Linked DNA regions of Caenorhabditis elegans. The protein of the gene in region 2 interacts with the protein of the main gene of each other region in a pairwise test. Each region holds a gene or a part of one and is shown on either strand. Other genes may lie near its edges.

The links. The genes of interacting proteins can lie anywhere in the genome.
Region 1: the proteins of M03B6.1 (region 2) and ddi-1 interact in a two-hybrid assay, tested with the Caenorhabditis elegans proteins (one large-scale study listed by BioGRID).

What each region holds. Positions count from the first base shown.
Region 1 is NC_003282.8:6,520,320-6,525,532, forward strand, and holds ddi-1 (Protein DDI1 homolog 1), read left to right. Parts: upstream 1-2,547; 5' UTR 2,548-2,554; coding exon 2,555-2,626; intron 2,627-2,673; coding exon 2,674-2,778; intron 2,779-2,824; coding exon 2,825-3,191; intron 3,192-3,241; coding exon 3,242-3,387; intron 3,388-3,438; coding exon 3,439-3,667; intron 3,668-3,721; coding exon 3,722-3,851; intron 3,852-3,905; coding exon 3,906-4,026; 3' UTR 4,027-4,252; downstream 4,253-5,213. Other genes in the region: gtnt-2 (Glycosyltransferase family 92 protein), read left to right, coding at 1-96, 795-1,083, 1,141-1,299, 1,342-1,448, 1,494-1,899; C01G5.5 (NADP-dependent oxidoreductase domain-containing protein), read left to right, coding at 4,321-4,392, 4,446-4,544, 4,991-5,124, 5,173-5,213. UniProt on the Caenorhabditis elegans protein: Aspartic protease. Required for the cleavage and activation of transcription factors such as isoform a of the transcription factor skn-1, which in turn regulates the expression of proteasomal subunits such as rpt-3.
Region 2 is NC_003284.9:13,839,403-13,844,550, reverse strand, and holds M03B6.1 (uncharacterized protein), read right to left. Parts: upstream 2,942-5,148; 5' UTR 2,924-2,941; coding exon 2,722-2,923; intron 2,027-2,721; coding exon 1,815-2,026; intron 1,628-1,814; coding exon 1,589-1,627; 3' UTR 1,229-1,588; downstream 1-1,228. Other genes in the region: M03B6.5 (uncharacterized protein), read right to left, coding at 1-156, 209-263.

The DNA.
Region 1 (5,213 bases), on a different chromosome or scaffold from region 2:
TATCGGTTACTCAAATGCAGATAAACTCACGATATTCTCTTCTTTTACTGGAGATGATGGAACTACAGTAATCTTATCGTCCTATGGGTATTTAAAGTAAGGGAAAACAGAATGAACATATTTTTTAAAGTGAAATGTCTTATGTGTAGATGGCTCAGATTTAGAATTTCGAATGAAAATCGTTTCATTTAAGATAGAGCCTTCAAAATAAGTCCCCAAAAACAATTTAGCGGCTGAGCAACACTTTGAATTGAAGAAAAAAAGACTATCTGAAGTTATGCAGTTTAGTTTTTTTCTACTGTTTCAGAGATCCTTAAAATTGCTCCAAAAAGTTGATTTGGCGCTTATGAATTTTACCGAGTTGGTGAACATTCTGGTAGCTTATTGGAGTTTTTTTTCGGAAAAAAACGTAATTTTTCACTCGAATCGTTCAAAAATGTTAAGTTTTATCTTTAAAATTTGTTTAGAAGACACACCACGTAGTTTCTAGGTTCAGAAAACATCTTAACAACAACATGAGAAGTGGAAAACAATTTTATAAGACAGTTGTTAAATTATTTATTTTGCTTTCAAAAAGTGCTCTTCTACCGCTAAATGTTTGATAGTGACCACATTTATACGTACTCTTTCAAATAAAATAGATTTCAGTTGAATGTCTGAATGTAAGCCGAAATCACTACTTTTTGCAATGTTTAAATATTAGGGGTCAAACGTTGGTCAAAGATCGGGTGACTACTCCTGAGCAGCAGCTCCATTAAGCTTAGTGAGCATTCCATATCTATAATTATTTTCAGCCGACGTGTCTACTGTCGTTTATTCGATGAAAATAGGCAGGAAATCTATCAGAAAGCCGTGGCAGTTTTCCCCGAATTAACAATAAAGTGCTCGGAGAGTTCCTCAGTAAAAGCCGAGTTCGTTGCTGTAACTATAAACAAAAAGGATGTTCCAGGGAATATGAAGCAGATTTACAAAGAAAAAGAAACAAAGAACAAATCAGAGTTTACTGTATGTCTTGCTCCACTTTATGGAGAATCTCCGAAAGTGTTGATGTTGATGGAATTTATTGAATATTATAAGTTGCAGGTTAGTGTCTTGGGGTTACGGTAGAGTAGTTATTTTTAGAAATAAAGTGCATTTCAGGGCGCTGACCATTTTCTAATTTACTCATTCAACATCTCAAAGGAAACTGAAAATGTTTTGGATTTCTATAGAAATTCCTCAAACCTTGAAGTAATACAAATGGGAAATGAAACTAAATGTCTAAATCGTCATAGATGCAGACATGAGATGCAGTTACAGGTTTGTTTCAATTATTTTAATTTAAAAATAAAATTAATTCAGGACTGTGTATTCCGAACTCAAAAGTACTCAAGCTGGGTGGCAACGGTTGATTTGGACGAAAGGATCATGATGATTGATGAGAAATCTACTCTTTTAGATTATATCAGGTTTTCATTTTGCTTACTTTTTTATCCAACTCTCTATATTGACAGAAATTGCAATGATCATAAAATCTCTGAACTACGTTTTCGTTGTCAATGGACTCTTCGATATTCTGAAATTTCTTCTGGTGCTCCTCAAATTGAGAATCTTCCAATGATTACTTGGCATAACACCAGCCACGTGGCACCGCAGAATCATACTACAAAATCGATTATTCGGTCCCGAAATGTTGACTCGATGGGTGTGCACGGAGTTCAAAAGTTCCGAAATCCGATCTATGGAGTCCGACTTGTGGAGCCAGAAATTGCAGTTGTCCGACACTATCGATTGATTAAAGGATGGAGTTTCTTTTTAAGAGAAGCCGAATCTTTTGGCAACTTTTTCCATTTTCAACTATCTCCTGGTTTATCTAGTCGTATTATTGAAAGGGTTGCAAAAATTATTGCGAAATTTTAGAACATTACGGGTTAATAAATGTTTTTGATTTGTTTTGTTTTCTGTATTTTGATGTATTTTTGAGAGAATAAAAATATTATACCAAACATTTTGCGTCGGAATACTGTAGCTTCTCGGAAAAATATTTTTGAAGCAAAAACATGTTAAGTTTTTTTTTCAAAATCGTGAATTTTTAACGACAGCAATAATAATTTATTTCGTAAAACACATATTTCCTCATTTACTGGCAGTTTCCAGCAAAAATTACAGTCATTTCACAATTTTAATTCAAAAATTCTCAGCGGGGCGCACTTTCATATCTGTTCCTTGTCATCGTTTTGCACCGTTTTCGTCCTTCATCACGAGAATTTCTCGAGTTTTAGACAAGTTTTTACACTTTTTTGAACAGCTGTTGTCGAGAAAGCTTATAAAGTTAAAGTTAAAATGTTCTACTTCACAAATTCTCAGGTTCCATTCTTTTAACTTTCGAATCTTTATTTGAAAGGACAAAAAGTTTCCCGAGAGAACGGTTTTGTGTAATTAATTTTTTCATCGATTAGATGCGTTTATGCTCTAGAGATGCAGCGTTTTCATTTACAAATACGCAAATGTTCTTCGATTTTTTCTCATTCTTCCTTTTTCAATCTCATTTCTCATTTATTCTTCTAATTTTCAGATGTCTTTCCAAGTGAGCGTAGCCGTTAACGATGGACCATTCCAAAAGAAAAGTGTTACACCAAACACAACTGTTAGTTTTAATACTTAAATGTAATCTTTTATTCAATTTTTTTGCAGATTGGTGATCTGAATAACGACGCAATACTGATTTGGAAAGATACTGCAATTGTCTACGATATTTCGGATGAATCGAAGAATTTTGGTCCAACAGTGACATTAGAGGTAAATCGAATTGTTAAAGAAAATCTTAATCATACTATAAGTTCAGCAACTTGGCGTCACTCAAATTTCAATGGTTTACATATATACCACTGCGTTCCCATGTCCGTCTGGAGATCTCCGATCGATCGTTCCAGCACAAGTCCGGCTCATCTCGCAATTCGCTTCAGCTGCGTCGAGTATTTTTAATGGACAATCGTCTTCCTCAGCACAGTCTGCTCAGAGAACACGGAGAGTTGAACAAGATGATGAAGGTGAAAAATCGATGTTCTCTCGGAAACTTTTGGATTCTCCTGCGACGTTCAAAGCGCTCTCAGAAAATATGTTCTTCCGTTTGAAAAACGAGCCACACAAATTGGGCTACGGTTTGCCGGAACTTGTTGAACGCTTTTTGGCGAAAAAAGATATGACTTACAGTGAGTAGCGCATTTTTTAAATCTTTATCTGACGCCTATCTAATTTTCAGAGGAATTCGAGCAAATGTTCCGTTCCTACGTCGAAGAAGAAGTTCACAAGGAAGAAATTATCAAAAACAATCCAAATTCAGCAGAAGCAAAAATGTTTTTGGAAGCGAAAAGAAATAAAGAACTGATTGATGAACAATATTTACACGTAAGTTTACAATAGAAGCCTGTAAATATATACAAATTGTTATAATTTCAGTCAATGACCCACCACCCAGAAGATATGATTGCCGTCACAATGCTCTACATCAATTTGACTATAAATGGTGTTCCAGTCAAAGCTTTCATTGATTCTGGAGCTCAAAAATCGATCATGTCAATGGCATGTGCTGAACGTTGTGGTCTTAATGGATTAATCGATAGACGGTTCCAGTCAATGGCCCGAGGAGTTGGTGGAACAGAGAAAATCGAGGGAAAGATTCATTTATGTGAGTCAAAAGTTTCCAACATTGATTCACATTCATTTTAATAAATGTTTTCAGGCGATGTGAAAGTTGAAGATGCTCACTTTTCATGCCCATTCGAGGTAATGGCTCGTCGTGAGATGGATCTTCTCATCGGGCTTAATGTGCTCCGTAAGCATGGGTGTTGTATTAATCTGAAAACTTCACGGTATGTTTCCCTCACGAAAATCTCGCGAAATCTAAATTTTTTTTTCTTTTTGAGATTGGAGTTTGGCAACGGAACAACAACTCCATTCCTTCAATCCAATGAAATTGATTCTCATCTGAAAGAGATTATGGCACTTCCTGAAGAAGAAATGCAATTCGAAGATGGATCCACATAGTTCCGCCCCTACAATTTATCCTTCAAATCTCCTTGTCTTTTCATCAAAAACATTTCAATGCCACTTTACTTGTATTTTCTTCACTGCAAATATTATACGGAATTCTTTTTTTTCTGCAAATACACTCTTTCTGTGCGTATCACTTCTTTTTTCTCCATGGAAACTACCACGAGTTGTTCCCATGGGAAATTCCCAGTAAATATCTCAAATATATATTTTTTTTTCATTTTCGCTGTCCATTTTGTTGCCACAGGCGTTTTTCAGGTTGTATAATAGATTTTGTAAATAGCAGCAATGTTCAAGCTGAAGAACGGACAAGAAATTCCGAAATTGGCTCTCGGGACATACGAAGCCAAAGGTGATCAGGTTTGGAATATTTTTTATTTTTGAACTTCGTTATTTTATTTTACCTTTTTTAGCTTTTCGCAGCTGTCGACGAAGCACTCAAAGTTGGATACCGTAGTTTCGACACAGCGAAGTACTATGAAAATGAAAAGGATTTGGGTTTAGCTCTTAAAGTATGAATTAACGAAATAAAACGCAAACATGCTTTTTTAGGAAAAAAAGAATCTGATAGAAAATATATCATTACCCAGACTCGCGTTTTGTGCCAAACATACGTTACGCGGTCTCGGCGCGGCAAATGTTTGCTAATTGCGAAAAGGTGTGCGCCTTTAGAGAGTACTGTAATTCCATTCTCTTCACGTTGCACCATGAATTATAATTGATTTTCGTAGTTTTTCTTAATTAAAGACACAACCATTTTTATCATTCGTGTGAAAATCAATAAAAATTCTGCAGAAACGAAAGCTTAAAATTTTTTACAGTACTCTTTAATGGAGCACATCTGTTTGTATTTAACAAAAATTGTCGTTTCGAGACCGCGTACAGTAGTTTTAGCGGAAATTTTGTCATCTGGGTTATACGCTAGATCGAAAATATTTTTTTGACAAACAACTTTCAGACTCTTCTCCCACGTCACAATATTTGTTCTGAGGATATCTACTTGACATCCAAAGTGTTTCCGTATTCAAGTAAAAATGCTGCTGAGCTAATCAGAAAAGATGTCAATGAATCACTGGAATTGTTAGATAGAAAGTAAGAAGAAATATCAAAATCTATTTAAATTTCCTATGAAAATTTCAGATATTTGGATTTGGTTCTTGTACACTACCCTCGTCCTCTTG
Region 2 (5,148 bases):
TTTGCGGATGATTCTTGCAGCATCTTTGATGTTTTCCACTCCATTGGTACAATGTGCAGCACACTTTTTCCCGATTTATTTGGATTTCTTCAAATTGAATTCCACTTTCTTCATCGTCCTGGCTTTCCACTTTGATTCCAGGTACTTCTATTGGAACTGAAATTGAGATCAATTTTTTTTAAATAATAAACTAAAAAAAATCACTCACTGGAAAACCGTACTTGACTTGTACTAGTACTAGGATATGAATCAGAAAGCTCCATTTGTAATAAATATCAATAATATTATGGAAAAATAATAGAAGTTTTGATTGACGCAGATGCGACAAAAATCCAATAAAAACGTGAGATTACTGCCTCAAAAAATTGTGCGGGATTTAATTGATGAGATGGGGGGACGCACCGCACACGCGTCGCTCTTCAACCTGTGACAAAAGTTTGGAAAGATGAGAAGGTCTTTGAGCAATAGATAATCATCAACAACTTTTTTGACATTTGTTCCAGAAAAGAATAGAGAAAGTTTTTATAAATTTAAAGCGAATACTAAAACTTTCACATACATATGTAGTTACATGCTAGCATATTGACTCTAATGCGTCTTTCCAGATTCTCAAAATTTTTTTGGCAATTACCGAAATTTTCGGCAATCGGTAATTCTGGCAATTGCCGATTGCCGGTCACTTTTGGCAATTTTTAATCATAATTATATTTTGAACCATGACAAAAGTTCAGTTTGTTTTTCAGTATTCGGTTAGTCACTTTCTAATAGAAAACGTTCAATCTTAAAGGATCAAAACAGTTTGAGCTTGAAAAGGAAATTTTATTTATTTATTTAAATGCATGGTTAGGCTTCTAAGTCTACAAAAAGTATCAAATTTATATTTCCAGGAATTTTAATTTTCGGCAATCAGCAATTCCGGCAATCGGCAATTTGGGCAATTTCAGCTGCGCAACCATGATTTCAAGGCAATGGAGCATGAGGTCTATCTGTTTTCTAAAAAGTTGGCCATAGTCCAACCAATCGCACATGACTGATTGTCGTTATTACTGCATTTTTAAGAAAGATATATGTAAGCGTTCCCCCATCCACTCAGCCCTCTCCAATAATCAGAGATTGAATTTATCGAAATGTCAAAGTGTAATTTTGTTGGTAACCAATGTGAGAATCGGGATGATGAAACTTTGTATTCGAGAAGGTGATTGCTGATAACAAGAGATATGAAAAATGTACTGTTCCAAAAAATTTATATCATAATCAATCATCTCGTTGCGCGTGTCATTGAAATATGAAGCGATACACTTTCTTGCAAAATTTATTTCTGATAAGATATTTGTGCTGGGGAGCTATTTCTCAAACCGTCCCTAACAGGTCACACTTTTACAAAAATATTTTTTGACATTTTATTTCAATTTTCAAAATATAGAATATTGGCAAATCACTATGTTTACATGGAAGCTTAAAAATTTTTTTTCATAAAAAATACACTTTTCACGCGTTTACAATTAATAATTTGGACTGAAAACTACTTGTGGATTTTAATTTAAAAACATAGCAATGAAATTTTTGAATGTCCTTGATGTTTTCCACTTCATGCTTTTGGGCAAGTGGTGGGAGAGGTCGTTGGTTCCTGAAACAAAATTAAATTAGAAAAATGCAATTCGGCTTTGTGATTTTTAATTGATAGAGCATAGACAAATGGTGGCCTAAAAGTTAGTAGAAAACTCTAACAGACGTTCAAATTGAATGTTCAAACATCAGAATGAATTAAATGGAACAGTCAGCTGGTTTTTATCAAGTCCAAAGTATATTCTTACCTGTACACAATCCAACAAATTACCCTTCTTTGCTGCATCACGCTCGCGAATTCTTTCTTGGATGATTATCTCAGTGTGTTTGAGAATTCGAAGATCTACTAGTGGCTGAAGATCACGGTAAAGCATGAAATCAATGTACTCTTCGGAAAAGATAATTCTCCCATCCGGGCCACGTGGTTGCTCGTCAAGTGTTGGACATTTCCTGGCTTTCACTGAAAATACAGGAGTATAAATATGGTAAACAAGTACCCGCGAAAACGTTTCAGAAACAAAAAAAAAATTAATGAAGTCTATCATTTGATCTTTTGAACACGAAGAATTCCAAAAATGGATTTTCCCACAGGCACATGAAAAAGTGATGTTTGTAATGGAAAGCATGAGAGATTTATGCTGCAACATTAAACTTATTTATAGGAATTTGAAATTCAAGTATTTGTACTTTGTAACTGATTTATTGATACCTAGATTCAACAAAAAATTGGGCTACTTTAAAGACACCCTCCTGAGCATGATCAACAGAGCACTTTTAACGTAGAAAAACAGAAAGTTAGTCAATTTGCAGTTTTACAAAATATTACCAGCAGACTGTTTTTTTTTGTTGCATAGTTAATGAGCTGATGGAATAGTGTATCTCGTTAGAGATAGAGTAGGGTCTTAGGATGGGGTAATTTTAAAATGTTACACTTTCTTTTAAAGCATTGTTTCAAGTTCAACCCCTTCTGATTTTCAAATACAAGAAAGCAAAATAGATTCATAATATTTTGCTTAAAACTTGTTTGAAACCCCGTTTTTTGGTCGACTTCCAAAATTATGAGTGAAAAAACCGAATGATTGCTATTTGCAACAGAAAATATGAAATATCACCAACTTGTTGAAAATTTTGTTACAAAAAAATTAAATAGCTCACTTTTATGATATTCAATAATTTTCAGCCTTTGAAGTTCCTTGTTCTGAGCAGCAAGCTCTTCCAAAGGAACATCCAAATTATCATTGATAAAATCCTCTGCTTGTTTTCGCTCCTTTTCGGCAATTGAAGTTGAACTTTCGGCATTTCGGTTGATCGGCCTTGAAGATGACGGTCTTCCGGAATACATCAAAACCCACTCCATGACTTGGTCAGCTGAAACACGAAAAATGAGTGCCGCGCAATTTCTTATACTCTCAATATTCTCAGAAATGACTCCGCCCTTCAGTCAAACAAGGGCAATTACTCATCCAGGGGAAAGGGGGAGGAAGAATGTTCTCTGCAAAAACTTGCTCATTGAGCTCAGCAGGATCACTCAGCCACTTGTCAGACATTTGGGTGGAAATCAAGAGAGATGAGAAAGAAGAAGAAAAAGATAGAAGCTTGCATAAAAAAAGATTTTTGCAAATGCAAGTGAATCATTTGTTCCACCATGGGCGTGACAGCTCAGGATTACGTTTGAATAATTTTGAATCAACTGGAGCCATTATCTTTTGAAACCAAATTAGACTAGCGCACTAATTTACTAATCAGACTAAATTTATTTTTCAAAAAACTTGTAAATACTCATTCGCAATCATATAATCTTGCACCAAAAGGCATATCGTTGTAGAGCCTTCAAAATTTGAAAATGCATATAAATATGGTACATATATATATATATATATATATATATATATATATATATATATATATATATATATATGTATACATGTGAAAAAACATGTTTAAGTAGTTATTTTTAACCTTGTTTTCCACAAATAAAACACGGAACAACAATTTTTTTTAAATCATAAAACTAGTTTCAGAAGTTATTTTTAAAATTGAAAAAAGAATCCCCCAAATTTGCTCTTTAACGTATTCAAATATCATCCACTTTTTTCGTGATTTAATTTTTTCGATTCAAATTTCCGATTTTTTTTTCAGCCGTTTTTTATCTCCCAAATCCTCAAGTTTTCATTAAAAAAATTCACTGAAATGAAACAAATGAACAAGTTGGCAAAGAAAAATCATGAAAATTGGATTGCATGGTGCCGATCTAATTTTGAAACAAAATAAAACGAAACGAGGAAAAGATCTTTTGAATTTGTAAACAAAAAGTTAATGAAATGGAAATTGGAATTCGTGTGGAGCAGACACAACAATGAATGAAAATCGAAAATAGACTGAAATGAGGAAGGACATTTGAAACTAGAAATCTAAGAAAAAAGTTATGGGAATAAGAATTTTTTGCAATTCAACGTATGTTTACAGGTATTTATAGATTTACAAGTTACGCTAATCAGAAATTTGTGAGGAAATGATGTAACACGTAGGCGTGTGAGTTGCAGTGCCCAAAACATGTTGGGTGCTTCGAAAAACAAAACTGTGGCTGGCAAGTTACTTCCGCAGAAAGCGGGTTATGAAAACAATGCACACGTAAAATTGTTTGTCAATTTGAACAAAAAATTTTCATCAATAAATATATAAACTGTTACTTTAAGTCCCAAGTAGTTTATAGCAAAACGAGAAAAGTGTTGAAGTTTTGGAGACCACGATACAAAAAATTCAAGAAAAAAAAATCAAACGCAAGATAATTTGCCTGGAATCAAATCTGAGAAGAAGTAAAAATATTTTTTTCTATAAGATTTTGAATATAAATCAAATTTAAAAAGTCTGGTCTGGCCAATTTTTGTCTCATTTATTCATGTCGATGTTCTTACCAGTCTTTAAACGCTTTTAAATCTTTAAATCTTTAAGTCTTTAAATGTTTCAGATTATTATTTTTTAAATAAAAAACATGACCAAATTTGATTTATAATTTTAACAGTTGTAATGCTAAAGTGGTACCTACATATTACATTTTTTTAACATTCGGTACGGATAAAAAATTATTAGGTGCGCCACGCCATACTCAAAACTTAAAAATGAAAACATCACTGTTTTTTCACATTATTTGAAAAAACCTCACCAACTTTAATAACCAACTTCCTTCTAAAAACAAATATGTTTTTTTTTCTTCTTTTCATTTTTGAAATCTCTGATCATTTTGGAGAAAAACAGTTATTTTCAAAAAAAAATTGAAAAATATTTATTCTCTTCCTTCGCGGGTCTTCTTTCATTTTATTTCACTATTATACAAATATTTGCTCCTGGTCTGTAGGAAAAAAGTTACGCACCAAAAAAAATGACCAGCGACCAACAACACAATAATATTGCTGGAAATGTTAAGTTGACTGAAAACAGAAGTGCCGAATATTGTTCGAAAACACGGAACTAAAGGGCACGGTAGAAACGGGATTTGTGTTTTTGGTATTAGAATAATGAAATGCAAGCAACTCAAAGAACTGGAATTTTTTTTGTTAAGCTGAGAGGAACAGGAAATTGTTT